Linked DNA regions of Callithrix jacchus. The protein of the gene in region 2 interacts with the protein of the main gene of each other region in a pairwise test. Links are inferred from orthologs where the notes say so. Each region holds a gene or a part of one and is shown on either strand. Other genes may lie near its edges.

Region 1 (9,809 bases), on a different chromosome or scaffold from region 2:
AGTGTACTTTATTCATCTGTTGCTAAGTTAAAGTCTGCAAGACAGACACCCCAAAAGTAGGGACCCCAAAACTTATAGATACTTGCTGATTTCCATTTTTTCAAATTTTTAGAGAAGGTTTGAAATCCCTGTAATTGTGGATTTGTCTATTTCTCCTTGCAGTTCTATATTTTTACTTCATGTATTTTGAAGTGCTGTAATACAAGAATGCTTAGGATTGTTATGTCCTCTTGATAAATATACCACTTAAAATTATATAATGACCTAATTTATTCCTTGTATTATTCTTTTCTCTAAAATGTAGTATCAGATATCAATATAGTCATTCAAGCATTGTTTTGATTCCTGATAAAATTATTCATCTTTTCCATCTTTTTACTTGTAAACAATTTGTATCTTTAAATTGAAAATAAGGTTCCTATAGACAGCACATTTTTGTGAGTTTCTTTTCTATTCAAGCTGACCGTCTCTGCTTTATGATTGAACCATTTAAACCATTTACATTAATGTGATTATTGATGTTTGAGTTTAAGTCAACCATCTTATTGTTTGTTTTCATTTGTTCTACCCGTTCTTTGTTCTGCTTATTTTATCTCTTGGGGATTATTTTGAGAATTCCATTTTACCTTATATATTAGCTTATTAGCTATAACTTTTTTACTGGTTGATTTAAGGTTTATAGTACACATCTGTAATGTATCAGAATCTACCTTTAAGTGATATTAATATATAGAATAAGAACCTTAAAATTGTGTACTTTCATTTCCCTTCCTCTGGCCTTTGTGCTGTTATTTTCCCCTCTTCTGGCTTTTGTGCTAAAGTATACATTTTAATCCTAATATGCAGTAAATCAGAGACACTCATAAAGCTTATGTTATTTATTAACCCTCTCTCAGATAGCTTTGCCCTCCACTCTCTGATAGATGTTCAGTGACTGAAAAGGGTTATTTCATATATTCTTCCAGGTTTCAGCTGTTTCAGTTAGGGAGGTAAACTCCATTTTCATTGAAAGCATAAATGTGGATTAGTGTTTTAAATGGTGGTTAATCATAAAGGCTTTGTTTTACTTCTTACCAAAGCGTACTTCCCATGCTATCTGGAATTACTGGAAGAGTCCAGTGTCTGTGTTCCTTCTTGCTCTACCCTTGACTAGAATGTTCAAACTGCAGCACTTTGTTTGGTCATAAAATAGCCTTTGAGTTTATTTTCTACATTTCCTTCAATGGATTTGACTATTTTTTTGAAAAATTTTTTAGACAATTTTGTACTTTTTTTTCTTTTTAATTTTATTTATTATACTTTCAGTTTTGGGGTAAAAGTGCAGACGTGCAGGTTTGTTACATAGATATACACATGCCATGGTGGTTTGCTGCATCCATCACCTTGTCATCTACATTAGGTATTTCTCCTAATGCTATCCCTCCCCAATCCTCCCACTCCCTGCTATCCCTCTCCTACCCCCCGACCCCCTGACAAGCCCTGGTGTGATGTTCCCCTCCCTGTGTCCATGTGTTCTCATTTTTCAACTCCCACTTATGAGTGAGAACATGCGGTGTTTGGTTTTCTGTTCTTGTCAGTTTGCTGAGAATGATGGTTTCCAGCTTCATCTATGTCCCTGCAAAGGACATGAACTTATTGTTTTTATGGCTGCATATTCCATGGTGTATATGTGCCACATTTTCCCCCCCACCCTCCCCCACCACATTTTCTTTATCGAGTCTATCATTGACGGGCATTTGGGTTGGTTCCAAGTCTTCAGTATTGTGAACAGTGCCACAATAAACATGTGTGCATGTGTCTTTATAATAGAACAATTTATAATCCTTTGGATATATACCCAGTAATGGGATTGCTGAGTCAAATGATATTTTTATTTCTAGATCCTTAAGGCATGGACTTGAATTTTTTGCTAAAAAAAAACAGTAACTGTTATATTAGAAAGTTATGAGATATTATCTACATTATCTCAATTTTGTTAGAAATACATAAGGATTCAAAACGTATTACTCATTACTATTTGTTAAATAGCACTAAATCTATCTTTCTCTTGTTCAGTTTTTCATTCATTTATTCAACGCGTATTTACTGGATGTACATGATATGCTAAACCCATATCTACATCTCAAATATCCTTTATGAACATCCTTTTTCTTTGACAACCAAGGCACAGTCTCTAATATCCCTGTCTGCTCTTTGCCAGAATTTGTAGGTTTTTATGGGAAGAATTTATGTACACATTTTGTGAAGAATGGCCACAGTAAACGAGAAAATGATGCTCACCGTATTACATATAGAAATGATATGTAGGCAAATGCATTGAGAACCTTAGATACAGCTGCTTCTCTTGAGGGAATGTTATGCTCTGCACTGCCTTTTGCTTACTTTCTGCTGGTTGCTGGTAGTTGCTTGAACGTTTTATATGGAGCATAACTACTCACATGCTACTGTCTCAGCTGCCCCTTCAGACACAAACACTCTGTTAAGAGCCAAGAGAAACTGGTTAGCAGAAGACTCTCTCCATAGAGTAGAATCTTAAAACCAACTTTCTCTGAGAAACTGACAGGGAAACTTCAATCTGCCTGGACATGGAAGAGATATGCATTTTTCTGGGCATATGTGTGCCTCACCTTCTCTCATGGATATGCCATCAGTTTACACATGAACTTAATTTTTCCTCATGAACACTTCTTTTTTTTCCACTGAAGCTGATGCTAACACTGACAACCAAAAATAAAAATCTGGTAGGACATAAGCCTCTCCATTCATCAATTTTCCTGCCCTTTCAACTCTAGGCTCTCTTTAATCTTCTGTCTTGTGTCTTAAGTGTTTGCAGGAGGAGAAAAAGCTTTGAAATTACTTAGGCATCTGATTCATGATGGGGTTTGTGATGTTATGTGACATTTTCACCTGCCTATCCACATTTCCCCTTTGGTTCCATAAGTTCTATTGCAGTGTTATATTCTAGAACAGGAGTGGCAAAGTTTTTCTGTTAGGACCATATAAAAAATATGTAGTCACTGAAAGCAAGCTGTACTATCTTTCACAACTACTCAACTCTGCCACTGTAGTACAAAAACAGCCATAGATAACATGTAAATGAATAAGCATGCCATTCATTTAAAAATTTATGGATACCAAAAGTTGAGTTTCATGGTTTTAGTGTCATATTTTCAGGTTTTTCAACCTTTAAAAAATGTAAAAATCATTCTTAGTTATAGGCCAAATAATAGGCAGTGGGCCAGATGGACCATGGGTTGTTTGCCAACCCCTGTTCTAGAATCCTAACTTTAAGTTTGTAAGACTGTCTTCATACATAAAATGTGTAGATTTCATCCGATTAGTACAAACTGCAGGGGATTTTATTTCCCTAGTTCTGCTGGGACACTTAACCCCAATTGTCTTCCCATAGACCTCTCATAAAGGTCTCATTTGTGTATACATTGATTCACTAACATGATATCCTGATGTCCAACTCCATATAGATAACAAAATTCTGTACATTTATGGATTTCAGGTGAATGTGAGCTGGTATGAGGTGGGACTGTCTCAGATTAAAAGTGGGCTGTGTTTCCTCACACATCTTACATAGTCTGCTATACTGAGGAAGAGATTGCCTAGGAGAGAACCACCTGTAAGGAAAGAGATAGACAGACAATGTTTTTCCATGAAACAGAAGAGGGAGGGGGGAATTTGTCCACACTTTTGTAAAGTAGAGCAAGGATTCAATCCACTGGAAATTCCAGATAAATCGGTGGGACTTTATCACTTTGAGGATTCCTGAACATCTGCAATGGTAGGAGCTAGTGTAAGAGCAAAACCTAGCAGACAGAATAATATCCAGGGAAGATGACAATAGAACGCAGCAGCAGAGGAATGAAAGTACCTACTCCTAAGCCTACTGGACTTGTAAGCATAGGGAAGACCTCACCTCGGAAATGTCCTCTAATAACGGAAGGAAATATCTAAAGGGTTGGGTCATGCATGTCACTAAGAGCAAGAACTTGGGAGAAAGTTCACAACCTTATTCTCTCATCTGGTCAATACAGCAACCCTGGGAGGTTGCTTGTCTTCATCTTACTGATAAATATTATGATCTTCAGAGAGATGTGTCACTTACATTTCTAAAAAGAGATCCCAGGGGTAAGCTCAAATTGAGATTCTGTCATAAATGTTTAATAAGTGTACACATTGCTTTTATAAGGTGGTCATATATAAGTAATAGAGTTCCATTTTGAAAAATAAGAAATGATGGATAAGCAAGAATAAAATTCCCTTTTAATTCTACCACAGAGATAAACATTATTTACTATATATGTGTGTGTATATATGTATATATACATGACTGTTTATGTTCATATTTAAGATTTAAAGTAAAAAAGAATGCAGAGAATGCTTTTTAAAACTGCTTTATTAACTTCACAATATATAATGAGCATCTTTCCATGCAGTAGGTAAAACTCGCCTGCTGACAGAAACTTACAAACTGGGTCAGAAACAACATTCAGTTAGAAGCTGGTATCAGGAGACCCACAAGAAATAAGTAACATCAAAAGGTTTGCAACAAAGGTACACCACAAATATGTAAGTTTAGGAAGCAGGGGTCTTCCTATAAACTTCAGGGAAATCATCAGGATTCAGGGCATAAGGCAAAACTCATCGTGATGGTCATGGTGAGGGGGGTCAGTGCTGACAGCCCGCAGACTATGACTCAACTGCTTTTCCCTCAACTTTTCCATCAGCTGTCTCACCTCCTCCCCAAGCCTTTCCATATTCTCCTCTCTCATCCTTGCCTGTGGTTCTCCAAGCCTATGCATCATGTCCCATCTATACTGCAGGATGGGCTGCCTAACGCGGAACCGCCTACGATTTCCTCTGGGCACATAGTATTCACCAGCATCCAAAGGGAGGGCCAAGGGCTCCCCTTTATTAGCAACTTGCTTCTTTTCATCTTTTTCTTCATTTTCCTCTTTGACATTTTCCACGTTGAGATTGTTTAACGCTAGTTCCTCTTTGGACTCCATTACTCCTAGGAGACAAGAGAGAAAAAAAGAGACTCAATTCTTGGTGAACCGATCAGCACCGAGGACAGAGACCCTACTATACACCTTTCAAAATTCAGAGCCCTGGACTTCAAAGGCCATTTTAAAATTTCATTTTTTTTTCCACCAGAGAGACCCAGTGTGCCCTCGCGGGGAGACAATCCTAGCCCCTCTCTCTTGCAAAGCCCACCATCTTCCCTGCAGATCCATCTCCAGGCCTCTGCAGGCACCAAAATGGAGGACGAGGATGGGGTGGGGGAGGGGAAGGATTGCGAAGTGTTGAGTGAAGGCATGGATTGGGGTCTCAGACTGGGCTTTCCTCACGTTCCGACCCCCGCCCCACCACCGTACCTCGCACCGACCTGGGCCTATCCTTGCGATCTCCTCCTCCCGATTCTCGACTCGAGGCGCGCCGCCGGACACTTAGTCCCTCAGACCTGCAGAAGAGCAGGGGGCAGGGAGTGGGGGCTGCTGGAGCGGAACGCTAGCGATGACAAGCTGTCACCCAGCCCCTTCCCCGTCCCGAGCCCGGGCCCTCCTCGCCGCCCTCGCCCCCCGCCTCAGCAGCCCCTCCCCCCAAGATGACCACCATTTTCTGCACCAAGAAGGGCGGGGCAGGGGTGTCGGAAAAGCTTGCGCAGGTGGCGGAGGCAGGTGTTTCCGAAGGGTCGTAGCCTCAGGACCGCCGGCTCTCGCGAGGCCGGGCACCTCTCGGCTCAAGGAAGGCGGTGGGGCCCGGGGTCTGCTTCATGGTGGACCGCCTGCGTCACCGCGCGGCTACCCGGGGGTGGGTCATCCTCAGGCCGGGGCCGCTCCCCAACACCAACCCCAGGGATCTCCTCCAGGTCCCTTACCTGCTTCCCCTCCGCTTCCTACTTTCGGGGTCGCCCCCGGCCCGCACGTTCTCAGGGCCACCTGGAGCAGGTACCGCTGCCGAGAAGGGAGCGAGCGACGGCGGCTCTGACACCAGAGCGAGACAGACTCACTTGGCAGGTCACGTGGGGCGGTTGTCATCGCCAGCGGCTCCGCCCCCGTCCCACGCCCCCTCCTGCAGCCCCGAGTCAGGCGGGGCTTTCGGGCCAGCCCCCATTCACACCGGGAGTCCCTTTGAACATCCCCGGCCTGAGCTTTGCCACTCTCCTTTCTTTGTGTGTTCTTCGGACTTCCTCTGCCTGCCCAGGGAGGAACATATCATCTCAGGGAGATGTTAGCCGTTCCCACTCTGGGGACTTGCCTCTCTCTGTCCTTGGCTCCCAGGATTCACCTCCTTCTGTCCTCTCTCCTACCAATACTCTGATTTCCCTCCACTAAAACTAGTGGAAGAGGTATATCAGAAAAGGAGCCCAAAAGAGTAGACTTTTCTCATTCTTAATACCTTTCTGTGTTCTTTCATATGAAACAAAAAATATATACGTCTTAAAAGAGGAAAAAATGTTATTTTTAATTGAAAAACGGGATTAAAGTTGGGGAAAACATCCTAACCACCTGTCCTGTTAAATCATTATACAAATATAGACACTACCGACAGCTGCTTTTTTAGAACTTGGAAAAGGACAGGGCAGCTGATGACTCCCCTTTTGAGGGGCCCCTGGACATATGAGGCCCTTCTATGAGATGAACTAGTGAGTTGTAGTGCTACAGAGCTTTGTTGGGTTTTCAGAACTAAAAGAAAAAAAAAGACCTTTTTCACAAATTTCTGGTTCAAATGATAATAAGTATGTCTTTATTTGCATGTCAATAATCATGAATTCAGGAAATCCGAAGAGATCTACAGTTAATCTACTATAGGAGTAAGAATTGATTTTAAGAAGGTTGCAGATACAAGATAAGTATTACAAACTTACTCATAAATTCATTTGGAAATGCAAAGGACCTAAAACAGACAAATACTTTTTAAAAAATATCCTAGGCCAGGCGTGGTGGCCCATGCCTGTAATCACAGCATTTTGGGAGGCCAAGACGGGTGGATCACGAGGTCAAGAGATAGAGACCATCCTGGCCAACATGGTGAAACCCCGTCTATATTAAAAATACAAAAATTAGCTGGGCCTGGTGGCCCGCACCTACTCGGGAGGCTGAGGCAGGAGAATCGCTTGAACCCCAGAGGCAGAGATTGTAGTGAGCCAAGACCACGCTGCCGCACCCCAGCATGATGACAGAGCGAGACTCAGACTCAAAAAAAAAAAAAAGGAAAAGAAAAACAAAAATCCTGCAAATCTTGAGAGTTACATTATATTATTTCAAGACTTAAATTATAATGATACAGTAGTTAATGTAGTAGTAAACACAGACCTGTGGATTAATAGAACCCGAATAGGGAGTCCAGAAATAGACTGATACCTACGTTGTTAATTAACTTTTGACAAAGATGTCGGGATAACTCAATATGGAAAGTATAGTGTTTTAACAAATGGTGCTGAAATAACAGAATTCTTTTTTTTTAAATTTATTATACTTTAAGTTTTGGGATACATGTGCAGTTCGTGCAGGTTTACTACATAGGTTTATGCGTGCCATGGTAGTGGTTTGCTCCATCCATCTCCCCATCATCTACATTAGGTGTTTCTCCTAATGCTATCCCTCCCTAATCCCCTCACCCCCTGCTATTCCTCCCCTAGCCCCCCACCCCCCAGGCCCCAGTGTGTGATGTTCCCCTTCCTATGTCCGTGTGTTCTCATTGTTCAACTTCCACTTATGAGTGAGAACACGTGGTGTTTCATTTTCTGTTCTTGTGTCAGTTTGCTAAAAATGGTTTCCAGTTTCATCCATGTCCCTGCAAAGGACATGAACTCATCCTTTTTTATGGATGCATAGTATTCCATGGTGTATATGTGCCACATTTGCTTTATACAGTCTATCATTGATGGGCATTTGGATTGGTTCCAAGTTTTTGCTGTCGTGAACAGTGCCGCAATAAAATACGTATGCTTGTATCTTTATAACAGAATGATTTATAATCCTTTGGGTATATACCCAGTAATGGGATTGCTGGGTCAAATAGTATTTCTATTTCTAGATCTTTGAGGAATCACCACAGTCTTCCACAAAGGTTGAATTAATTTACACTTCCATCAACAGTGTAAAAACGTTCCTATTTCTCCACATCTTCTCCAGCATCTGTTGTCTCCTGATTTTTAAATGATCACCATTCTAACTGGCATAAGGTGGTATCTCAATGTGATTTTGATTTGCATTTCTCTAATGACCAGTGATGAGCTTTTTTTCATATGTTTGTTGGCTGCATACATGTCTTCTTTTGAAAAGTGTCTGTTCATATCCTTTGTCCACTTTTTGATGGTGTTGTTTTTTCTTGTATATTTAAGTTCTCTATAGATTTTGAATATAGCCCTTTGTCAGATGGGTAGGTTGAAAAAAAAATTTTTATTGTACTTTAAGTTTTGGGTTACATGTGCAGATCTTGCAGGATTGTTGCATAGGTGCACACATGCCATAGTGATTTGCTGTCTCCACCCCCACCTCCGTCACCTACATCAGGAATTTCTCCCACTGTTATCCCTCCCCAATCTCCCCGCTCCCTGCTGTCCCTCCCCTTGACCCCTACCCCCAACATACCCCAGTGTGTGATGTTCTCCTCCCTGTGCCCATGTGTTGTCATTGTTCAACACCCACCTATGAGTGAGAACATGCAGTGTTTGGTTTTCTGTTCTTGTGTCAGTTTGAATTGCAAAAAATTTTTTCCCATTCTGTTGGTTGCTGGTTCACTCTATTGATAGTTTCTTTTGCTGTACAGAGCTCTTAAGTTTAATAGATCCCATTTGTCTATTTTGGCTTCTGTTGCCATTGCTTTTGGTGTTTTAGTCATAAAGTCCTTGCCTGTGCCTATGTCCTGAATGTTATTGCCTAAGTTTTCTTCTAGAGCTTTAATGGCGTTAGGCCTCATGTTTAAATCTGTAATCCATCCAGAGTTAATTTTTGTATAAGGTGTAAGGAATGGATCCAGTTTCAGCTTTCTGCATATGGCTAGCTAGTTTTCCTAATACCATTTATTAAATAGGGAATCCTTTCCCTATTGCTTGTTTTTGTCAGGTTTGTCAAAGATAAGATGGTCGTCATTGTGTGGCATTCTTTCTGAGGCCTCTCTTCTGTTCCATTGGTCTATATCTCTGTTTTGGTACCAGTACCATGCTATTTTGATTACTGTAGCCTTGTAATATAGTTTGAAGTCAGGTAGTGTGGTGCTTCCAGCTTTTTTTTTTTTTTCCTTAGGATTGTCTTGGCTATGCAAGCTCTTTTTTGGTTTCATATGAAGTTTAAGGTGGTGCTTTTTCCAATTCTGTGAAGAAAGTCATTAGTAGCTTGATGGGGATAACATTGACTCTACAAATTACTTTTGGCAGTATGGCCATTTTCACAATATTGATTCTTCCTAACCATGAGCATGGAATGTTTTTTTATCTGTTTGTGTCCTCTCCTATTTCCTTGAGCAGTGGTTTGTAGTTCTCCTTGAAGAGGTCCTTCACATCCCTTGTTAGTTTTATTTCTAGATATTTTATTCTCTTTGCAGCAATTGTGAATGGGAGTTCACTCATGATTTGGCTCTTTTTGTCTATCATTGGTGTATAGGAATTCTTGTGATTTTTGCACATTGATTTTGTATCCTGGGACATTGCTAAAGTTGTTTATCAACTTAAGGGGTTGAGACGATGGGGTTTTCTAAATATACAATCATTTCATCCACAAAAAGAGACAATTTGACATCCTCTCTTCCTATTGGAGTACACTTTATTTCTTTCTCTTGCCTAATGGCCC
Region 2 (9,803 bases):
CAGCCCCTTCCCCTCCCAGTGCTACAGGAGGACCCTGCTGCACACATCTGCTGATTTCACTCTTTTCTCCCCAAGGTGGGGGCCACTGATATGTGGCCAGGTGTAGGCAAGGTGGCCACAGGGGTCTGTTCTTGTTCTTCAGGTCATGGGGGAAACAGCAAGAGACTGTGGGGAAAGACTCGCAGCCCAGAGTGAGGGAAACTGGATATTGTGACAAAAAGAAGCTCAAGAGGAAGCCACTTCGTAGGTGACACCCCGCCCACCTACCTGGTGACAACTGTGTTTTGGTCGATCCTTGCTTTAAGGTCTTCATTCTGCTGTTGGAGAATCTGGATCTTTTCTTCTAGGATGATGTTCTTTTCTGCCTATAAAGGATACAGTATTTAAGAGGTTCTACCAAGGCCATAAAATAGGGAGTAAACCGGTGCCCTCAGCTCTGGGCATTGGAGGATTATCAAGAACAGCATTTTGCACATATCAGTTTGCAATGCACTAGTGGGTTGTAAAATCAGGTTACAGGAATGTGACCAGCATTTCTTCTTTAAATGAAACAGAACAGAAAATGCCCATGTGTACTGTATGTAGCAAATTTCAGATATTTTTTATTTCATATATATAGAGTGTGTGAGTGAGTGAGAGAAAGAAAGAGAGAGAGTGTGTGTGTGTGTGTGGAAGGGGGTTGTGATATAAAATGTATTTCTTACAGTGACCGTCCCCAGGCCCTTGCCATTGTCAGAGATAAACCATGAATCCCATCAGGACCTCATCTGACTAATGGTCCCATGGTTCTTCCCAAAGGGTCAACCACACTGCAGCAGTATTCCTGGCCAGCGTGCGCGTGTGACATGACATTCTGAATCCATGAAGGGATGGAAATCTACATACTGTAAGCATGCTTTTTCCTGTTGAGGCTGTGGGCAGCCAGGAATGCAAAGCCCAAGCCCAGCTTGGTACATTACCCCAAATCCCGTCATCCATGGCTGCTACCCCCCGCAATTGATGCCGTTTCCTCTGTTAGCATGTCCTCGAGGGCCTGAGACCTAGCTGAGTACAGTTCCAGTCTAAGACAAATTTAGAAATATCTTTTGAAAAGAATGTGACAAGTTCACTGTTAATCTAGTTAATCTTTTTATGTTTTTGAGACAGAGTCTTGCTCTTTCTTCAGGCTGGAGTGCAGTGGCACAATCTCAGCTCACTGCAACCTCTGCCTCCTGGGTTCAAGCGATTCCCCTGGTTGAACTCCTCAGACTCCTGAGTAGTTGGGACTACAGGCACGCGCCACCACAACCGGCTAATTTTTTGTATTTTAGTAGATACAGGGTTTCACCATATTGACCAGGCTGGTCTCGAACTTCTGACATCATGATCCACCCACCTTGGCCTCCCAAAGTGCTGGGATTACAGGTGTGAGCCACCACACCTGGCACTGTAGTTAATCTTTAAAGAATGTAGTTGATTTTTAAAGTTCCCTATTTGCAAAATGTTCCTTGTATCTGGTATAACCAAACGAGGGGCTCGTCTAGGATCACACATTGCATTTGGTGGCCGTGTCACCTCTTTCTCTGGAAGCATCCCTTTTTGCAGACATCACTTGCAGTATGGGTGCTTCTCAGTGAATGGGGCAGACCAGGTGATGCTGGATTGTCAAGATTCTGGGCAATGCTGACAAAGAACAGGGCCAGGGGCCAGTCCTGTGGCTAGGATTCCTAAGCCCTGTTCACGGATGGTTCCTTGTCCATGAACAGGGCTTAGGAATCCTAGCCACAGGACTGGCCTCTGGCCCTGCTCTTTAGCAAGGCACCTCACCCAGCCCTCATTTTTGCTCTCAGGAGTTGAAGTGATCAAATGGGTTCGTTTTTGCCTGGAAAGATTTCTGGGATGAGAAGTCATATGGGCAGGCAGAAAGCCTGGAGCATAGCTAAAATCAGCCAAGTAAACCCAGAGGTTTGCTGGTGACCCAATGCAAAGGGCCCAGCCAGGAGCGGGAGGATAGGTGACTGCTCTCAGAGTGGCTGATCCAGCACTGGCCAGGTTGCAAGGCAGGGTTCGGTTGGGGCAGGCATGGTCCTGTAGCTCCCCACCAGCCCTAGGCCTGGCCTGAGCTAGGAAGTCCTGGGCTGCTAGAGGGTAGAGAGTGGCCAGCATTGCTCACTTGACAATCCAGAATCTTGACAATCCAGCATCACCTGGTCTGCCCCATTCACTGAGAAGCACCCATACTGCAAGTGATGTGCAAAAGGGATGCTTCCAGAGAAAGAGGTGACACGGCCACCAAATGCAATGTGTGGTCCTAGACGAGCCCCTGGTTTGGTTATACCAGATGCAAGGAACATTTCACAAATAGGGAACTTTAAAAATTGGATGAGATGATCAGTTCCTGCCTGAGATGGCACATTAAAGACATAAAACGCTTAGATGATATAATACCTGGGCTGTGTGTGTGTGTGCATACAGACACTGCCTTACAGAGAAAAAGTTCTGGAAAGTATAAGCACTGGTAGGAATATGATGTTATAATCTGCTTTTCTTCGGTTTATCTTATTTCATAGTTTCCCAAAGTACATATATTATTTTTGGTAGTATCAAAAGTGTATTTTTAAAGTAATAATAATAAAGGGAAAAAATAAGAATCTGAGATCCTGGGGCCAACTTCCAGATCAAGATGGGCTGCCCTTGGAAGGAGGCTTCCCTGCCACTCCCTTTGCACACCTTTCTGGGACTCTAGCCCTGGCCAGGGAGGGTGGGGGTGATGGGGGGGTGGGGTGGATGCTTGTGCCCCAGCGTAGGGGGTGAAATCCTGCGTGTTCTGTGTCCCCTAGGGGGTGACTTTTGCCAGCTCTGCAGGAGCCAGGCTGGTGGGCTGAGCTGGGTGAGTGTCAGTGAGAGCAGGGACGCTGTTCTGGGCTGAATGTTTGTGTCCCCCAAAATTCCTGTGCTGAAACCTAACCCCCAAGGAGGCGGAGCTTTGGGGAGGGGATCAGATCCAGAAGGTGAGCCCCTGTGAATGGGATTAATACCCTTATAAAAAGGGCCCCAGGAAGATCCCTGGCCCCTTCTGCCTTGTGGGGACTCGAAGCACTGGGCAGGGGCTCCTTAGCACCATCTCCGGCATCTGTAAAGCGGCTCATGGCAGCAGCTGCTCCACAGGCAGCTGTCGGAGTTAGGAGCAGGCTCACTCAGGGAAAGTGCTCTGTGCAGTGCCTGGGCACTGGAGATGCTGTATCCTGCTGGGTCACCACATGTCCCCAAGACAGGGTGTAGAGACAGTGCAATTGCCAGAAAACCAGGGTGAAGCAGAAAGAGGCCGCCTGTCAGGAAGGTTTCAGAGTTGGACAAGGTGAGGCCACCTCTAAGATTTCTTATCAGAGCTCCTGGCTTCCCAGGAAAGGCCAGCCATGGGATTTTCTGCTTAGGTATAAGCAATGGGCAGGTAAGGGACACACCTGGCCGAACACCATCAGCAATGACATCAGGAACGACAGGAGGAGCGTCATGGAGGTTAGTCACTCCCATGCAAACAGACCAACTCACCAGCTTTTCCAGCTCAAGAATCTTCTTTTCCTGCTCGTGTATTTGCTGATTCTTCATCTCTAATACCTGCTTCAGACTCTTCATGTCTTCTTCCAAGTGCTGATAAGGAGCCAGTGCAATCTACAGGGGCAGAGAGCCATAAAATGTTGACCGGGGCTCCCGGCAAAACCCAGTATTAACCAATATCACTAATCCAGCTAAATCCAGCCTCTGGACCAACGCCCCAATAGCAATTGCACAGCAAAGACAGAGGATGCTCGCAGTCTTCCCTGATGAAGGGGTCCTGCTGCTTCCCCCTGGGAACCCATTCTGTGCGGGAGCAGGTGACACACAGCCATCGTCCACTGGGAAGTTTGATTCCGGAAATGCTGGATGCTGCCAGCCCATGCCCAGCAGGGAACTCATGGGTCGAAAGAGTAAACCCAACACTAGCCTTTAACATTCACCTGGATGACTGGTAGCTGGGGCTCTTCTGGGTCCCACCTATACCCATAAAGAGCCCATGCACAGGAAATGAGCAGAGTGGCTTAAGAAGCAGAAAAGCCATTTTGGAAAAAGACACATTACAGTAGTGCTGCTGGATATAGCAAATTAAAACATGGTATGTCCTGTTAAATTCAAATTTCAGATAAAGCACGTTTTAAAAAAGTGAGCACAAGTATTGCTTGGGACATACTTAGACTCAAAAATTTATTTACCTGTAATTCAAATTTAACTGCGTGTCTTGTATCTTATTTGGCAACCCTACGTTAGAGAGAAGGAGTTTTGCCAGATTTCCTGAAAAAAATTCCCCTCAACCTATTAACTCCTGCTGTAGCCAAGGCTGCCCGTGTCAGCCTAAAAAGCTGGGGGAGAATGAGATGGAAGGGGTGGTCGGGCAAGGGTCGGGGGTTGCCGGACCATGCTGATCACAGGGGCCCCGGAACCTCGGCTGGGCAATGCTGTGGAATTTGGCAAAAATAACACGTAGCTGGAGAAATCCACAGCTGCTGTCTGACTCTGGGGAGATGTGCTGACAGAAATTGTTTACAAATCCAGGGGAGGTCGTGACCAGCTGTCACTTCAGCAAGGGATTCACAGAGAGGCCTTGTCTTGGGACAAGACTGCTGAGGGAGTCCCGTGGCCTGGGGCTGGAAGCCTGGAATCCCGAAACTACCTCCAGCTGCTCCTCCGTGCTCTTCCTCAAGGCCTCTTCGAAGCGGCGTGCTCTGTCCCGCAGAGACTGGCTCTGGAAGGTCAGCGTGTCCACCTGGTCCTGGAGTAATGACATGAGGAGTCCAGCTGGGGGCGCTACAGCCTGCCGCTGCCACAGCTGGGGCAGCTTCAATCAGCAGGCCACCACTTTCTTCAGCATCCTTAGAGTGTCTCCCTTGGGACTGAAGAAAGAGGTGCCCAAGGGGACCCCCAAAATCACATGATGGGCATGGTTTCCCCCAACGCCTACCCGTGGCTTGCCCTTCTTGGCTCTTTGTCAGGAAGAAACCACAAAAACACTGTGAACCGGGGGGCATCTCACAACATCTGATCCTATAGAAGCAGACAATCCTCAGGGAGAGGCGTCTGGGCCAGGAGGCACCCAGCCCTGGCTTTGGGAAGGACCACAGTGAAGGTACTTCAAAGAATCATTCTCATTTATGAAGCTCAATCCAGAACCCTTCCAACCCTCCTTCACTTCTTTCTCTGCCTTGGGATCCCTCTCACATCACCAAACCTTCTGGCCACCGAGCCCTGCTATCCTGCCTCCTGAATGTCCCTAGAAGCCACAGACTCCCCTGAGCTCAGCCACTCGGCTGGCTCCATCCTGACACGATTCTTCTTTCTCCTGAAGTATCACTCCTTTACCCTCACGCTGCAGTCAAGCCCTCTTTCTAATGTGCAAAGCGGAACCTGTCCTTCCCCGACCTCCTACCCCACTGCCCTCAAGGTGCCGTGTACACTCCCTAACGCAGCACCCTCCCGCCTCGCTGCCTCCCTCTCCTCTCACGCCAGCTCTCCTGCTGGCAGTGCCCTCCTCCAGCCAGCTGCCTCTCACTCCTGCTTCATTCTGGCTCCCACGCAGCCTTCCTGGCCTGACAGCTGGGTTTCATGTCCCTGATAGGAGCTCACATGGAAGCTGAGTCCACACAGTCTCCTCCTCCCTGCTGAGACCCGCTCCCTGGCCAGACTGGCACTCCCAGCCCTCTGCCTTCCCATGCCCGTCAGCTAGGGGGGCAGCTGGCGGCTCTCCACCTGCAGGTTGAAGGAAAGCAGGAGTGTCTATGGGGACACCATGCCCCTTCCCCAGCTCCCAGGGCAGATGCACCTGCGCTGACTCTGTCCCACTCAGCCTGCCCATGACTCCCCACACCACAGGCTGGCAAAGGACCACTGATGCCCAAGAAGCGCTTCACCCTTCGTGTCTCACTCATGCAGACCAGTCCAAAGCTCTGTTACAGCACCATTTCTGTAACATCAAAACACGGAAACTAGGGTGTCCCGTGAATTCTTCCAAAGAAAAATATACATATATATAATACACACACACACACACACACACACACACACACACACACACACACACACATACATATATGAGAGACAGAGACAGGGTCTCACTCTGTCGTCCAGGCTGGAGTGCAGTGGGTACAATCTTGGCTCACTGCAACCTCCACCTCTCAGGCTCAAGTGATCCTCCCATCTCAGCCTCCTGAGTAGCTGGGACTACAGGCATACACCACCACACCCAGCGAATTTTTGTATTTTTAGTAGAGATGGGGTTTCACCATGTTGGCCAGGCTGGTCTTGAACTCCTGACCTCAGGTGATCTGCCCCCCTCAGCCTCCCAAAGTGCTGGGATTATAAGCGTGAGCCACTGCACCCAGCCTACTCCCATTTTATTTTTAAGAAACGAAAGTTCCCACAGTGCCATTAAATGCAAGTGCCGCTGCATGAGGGCAGTGCGCTGCAGGCGGGAGCTTGCGTGCCTGAGCTGAAATGCCCCTCCGGGCCCCAGCACACGCCACCTGCTACACTGACTATAAAAATGCCTTTTGCTCCTTGGCTCCTACACCAAACCTTGGTGTTGCCAGAGAAAGGATTTCTTTTAAGCCTCTTTCCCTCCATTAAAAAAGAGAACAACAGAAAACTCGTCAGGCAATTATAACATAGGATGGATCTAAAATACCAAATTGTGATTTTTCTGCCTCAGTCACCATCACTCAAAACATCTGCAGGGAGAGAATGTGCTGTTGCAATCAACTTGGGCTGACTTCTTTGTGTCAAGCTAAGAGGCACAAAGACACAGCTGGTAGCCTGACCCAGCATGGGTCACTGGGGAATCAAGCGATAAATAGCATGGCAACAATCATAATAAAGGTAACAGTGCTTGTGGTTATTATAACAGTTACAATAGCTGACACTTATTAGCGCTGACCTCAGCCACCCCAGGGCTATCCACTTTTCACACGTTATTTCCCTTCATCTGTTCACACCTTGAGAAAGGTATTACCATCCTTAAAGAGTAAACTAAGGTTTATAGAGGATATGTAACTCTCCAAGATGTGAAAGCTAGTAAGAGCTAGCACAGGGGGGATTTAAATGAAAACTCGTCTCCAACTACCAAATCTGTTTCTCCAGGTGCCGGCAGCCCAAGGAGGCTGGCTTGAGCAATTCCACCCTCCTTGCACCAAATTACCTCCAGTCCAAATACATTCTGCTGCACAGAGAGCCACAATGAAAACTGCCCAGTTCAGGACCATTTGGTCAGTGGCAGGGCACAGACTCCCAGATGAGACAAAACTCTCATTCCTTTGGGTTTGGGATTGGATGGGATTTTCATGTTCCTTTAAGGAATTGCCGGTGTGTATACGAGGAAGGCAGTCTGGGGTTAACCGGCCAAGGGCAAACCACACAAGCACTGTGCAGGCATCGCACATTTCAGTCTTTGAAGAGTATCCTGGAGAATGTGACCTGGGGTCTCTTCACAATCCTGGACTCTTTTCTTGGTGGGGCAGGCTCAGTGCCATGTATGTTGCCAGAGGAAAGTGAGTCATCAAAGAAGCAGAATTCCTGCCTACATATCACAACTATGGGATTCACTTCCACCATTTCCAGGTGGAAGTGAGCCTAATATTTAAAAAATAATTTTGTTGTGATTGGAATTGCTACACCTGGAAAGGGAAGCAGGGCCCCCAGTGTCCCCCTGGCTTCTCAGACAGCTCCTCTCTAGGGCTGGGGGATGTCAATGTCTTTTCACAGAAGCAGCTGCCTGAGTCTCTGTAAGGTGGGAAGGAGACCCTGCATTCTCCCTTGGGGGCCTGCAGGACATCAGGAAGCCCCTCTGACATCTGAGACCAGCATATCCTAAGGGCGGAAGTGAGAAGCAGAGACGGTGTTTTCATATCAGCCACCTCCAGGTAACTGCAGCCCGTTTTATGATGCTCAGAGCATGTTCTGTGAATTCTGACCTGCACAGCCCTCCTTGCACCATTCCCCCTGCCTGAAACACTCACTTCCCCAAGTCCGCCTCTTGCTTTGAACCTAGCTCAGTTACTGCTCGGATACTCCAGACCACAGCAAGTGCAGAGTACTCTTTCTGAATGTCTGTAGTGCTCACTAACTGCATTATTCATTCGGTGATGGTATGTGTTACCTATGGTTGTCTGTTACTATTTGCATCACAGCTCTCTGAGCAGACAGCACATGTCTTAAGGGTAGGGAGTATGACTTATTTACCTCTATTCCAGTGTCTAGTACAGGATTTAGTACACAGTAGGTGCTGAATGAATGTTTGTGGGTGGGAATGATGATCTCGATATCAGGTAAGAAAATTAAAGAAATACTAACCTGTAATGACAGTCGCAGTTTTTCAAAATTTTCTTCTAATTCTTTCTTTTCAAGCTCATGAGTGGACATCAATTCTGGAAAGAAGACATTAAATTGTTAAGTTGGTCTTTCTTTTGAAAAGGATGAAACAAGGCTCTCTGGCAGACTACGACCAGAGGCTTCAGGTAAATAAATCACTCCTGTGCAGCAGATTCAAGCCTAAGGGGCTCCTCCACTGGTGTGAAATTGTGTGTGATGACTGGGATTGTATTCAGGAGAGAGAAAGAAAGAAGGGACTGGGGGAAAGGGGCGGGAAAGAGAAGATGGACAGACAGAGCACACACAGAGTGCGCACACTACACACACACACACACACACATCACATACACACACCACACGCACACATCACATACACACACCACACACAAACATCGCATAAATGCATACCACACACCACACACACACATCACATACACACACACCACACACACATCATATACATGCACACCACACATCCATCATATACACACACATGCCTACCACACACATCAATACACATACCACATACAATACACACCACACACATTTATCACACACACCCACACACCACACACACACCTACCACACACATTACATACATTCACACCACACACCATACACACATATATACCTACCATACAGACATCACATATACACACACCACATACCCTCCACACACACCTCCCACACACATCACATACACACACCACATACAACACATACACCATACACATCACACACACACTACATGCACACATATGCATTACCACACATACCACACATGCCACATACACATACCTACCACACACATACACATCACACAATCACATACACACATTACATGCCACACACTCATACACACCTGACACACAATCACACACAGCTAACATACACACAACCATGCACACACTCCCCCACATACATATACATACACACGTCCCCCACATCCCTACATACATACACACCACACCCATCCCACATACACATACATACCATATACAAACCTACACTGCACATCCATTACACACACACACACACCACACATATTCCCACACACCCCCACATACATATACTACACATACCACACACATATATACACCATACACATGCATAACACACCCACACACACCACACACACATCACACTCTCATAACGCACAATGCCCACACACCCCCAAATCCATACACATTTACACAAACATACACTTACACGCCTCCCCACATCCTTAGAGCACCATCTTTGTACACAACACATACCCACAACCCTCACACCATACACCACACACACCACACACACGACAAACACACTCCCCATGACATACACCAAACACACCACACATACACACATGCATACTCACACACTGCACACACCACAAACACCCACGCACATACCACACACACACACGTCCCCCCATACTTCCCACCATATAC

The links.
Region 1: the proteins of MTUS2 (region 2) and BEX2 interact in binary tests that used the Homo sapiens proteins (3 or more experiments, as listed by UniProt). The link is inferred for Callithrix jacchus from reciprocal best matches to the Homo sapiens genes MTUS2 and BEX2.

What each region holds. Positions count from the first base shown.
Region 1 is NC_133524.1:99,378,758-99,388,566, forward strand, and holds BEX2 (protein BEX2), read right to left. Parts: upstream 6,024-9,809; 5' UTR 5,894-6,023; intron 5,477-5,893; 5' UTR 5,391-5,476; intron 5,027-5,390; 5' UTR 5,022-5,026; coding exon 4,635-5,021; 3' UTR 4,391-4,634; downstream 1-4,390. UniProt on the Homo sapiens protein: Regulator of mitochondrial apoptosis and G1 cell cycle in breast cancer.
Region 2 is NC_133506.1:148,699,759-148,709,561, reverse strand, and holds part of MTUS2 (microtubule-associated tumor suppressor candidate 2), read right to left. Parts: intron 8,430-9,803; coding exon 8,356-8,429; intron 4,787-8,355; coding exon 4,688-4,786; intron 3,652-4,687; coding exon 3,532-3,651; intron 366-3,531; coding exon 268-365; intron 1-267. UniProt on the Homo sapiens protein: Binds microtubules. Together with MAPRE1 may target the microtubule depolymerase KIF2C to the plus-end of microtubules. May regulate the dynamics of microtubules at their growing distal tip.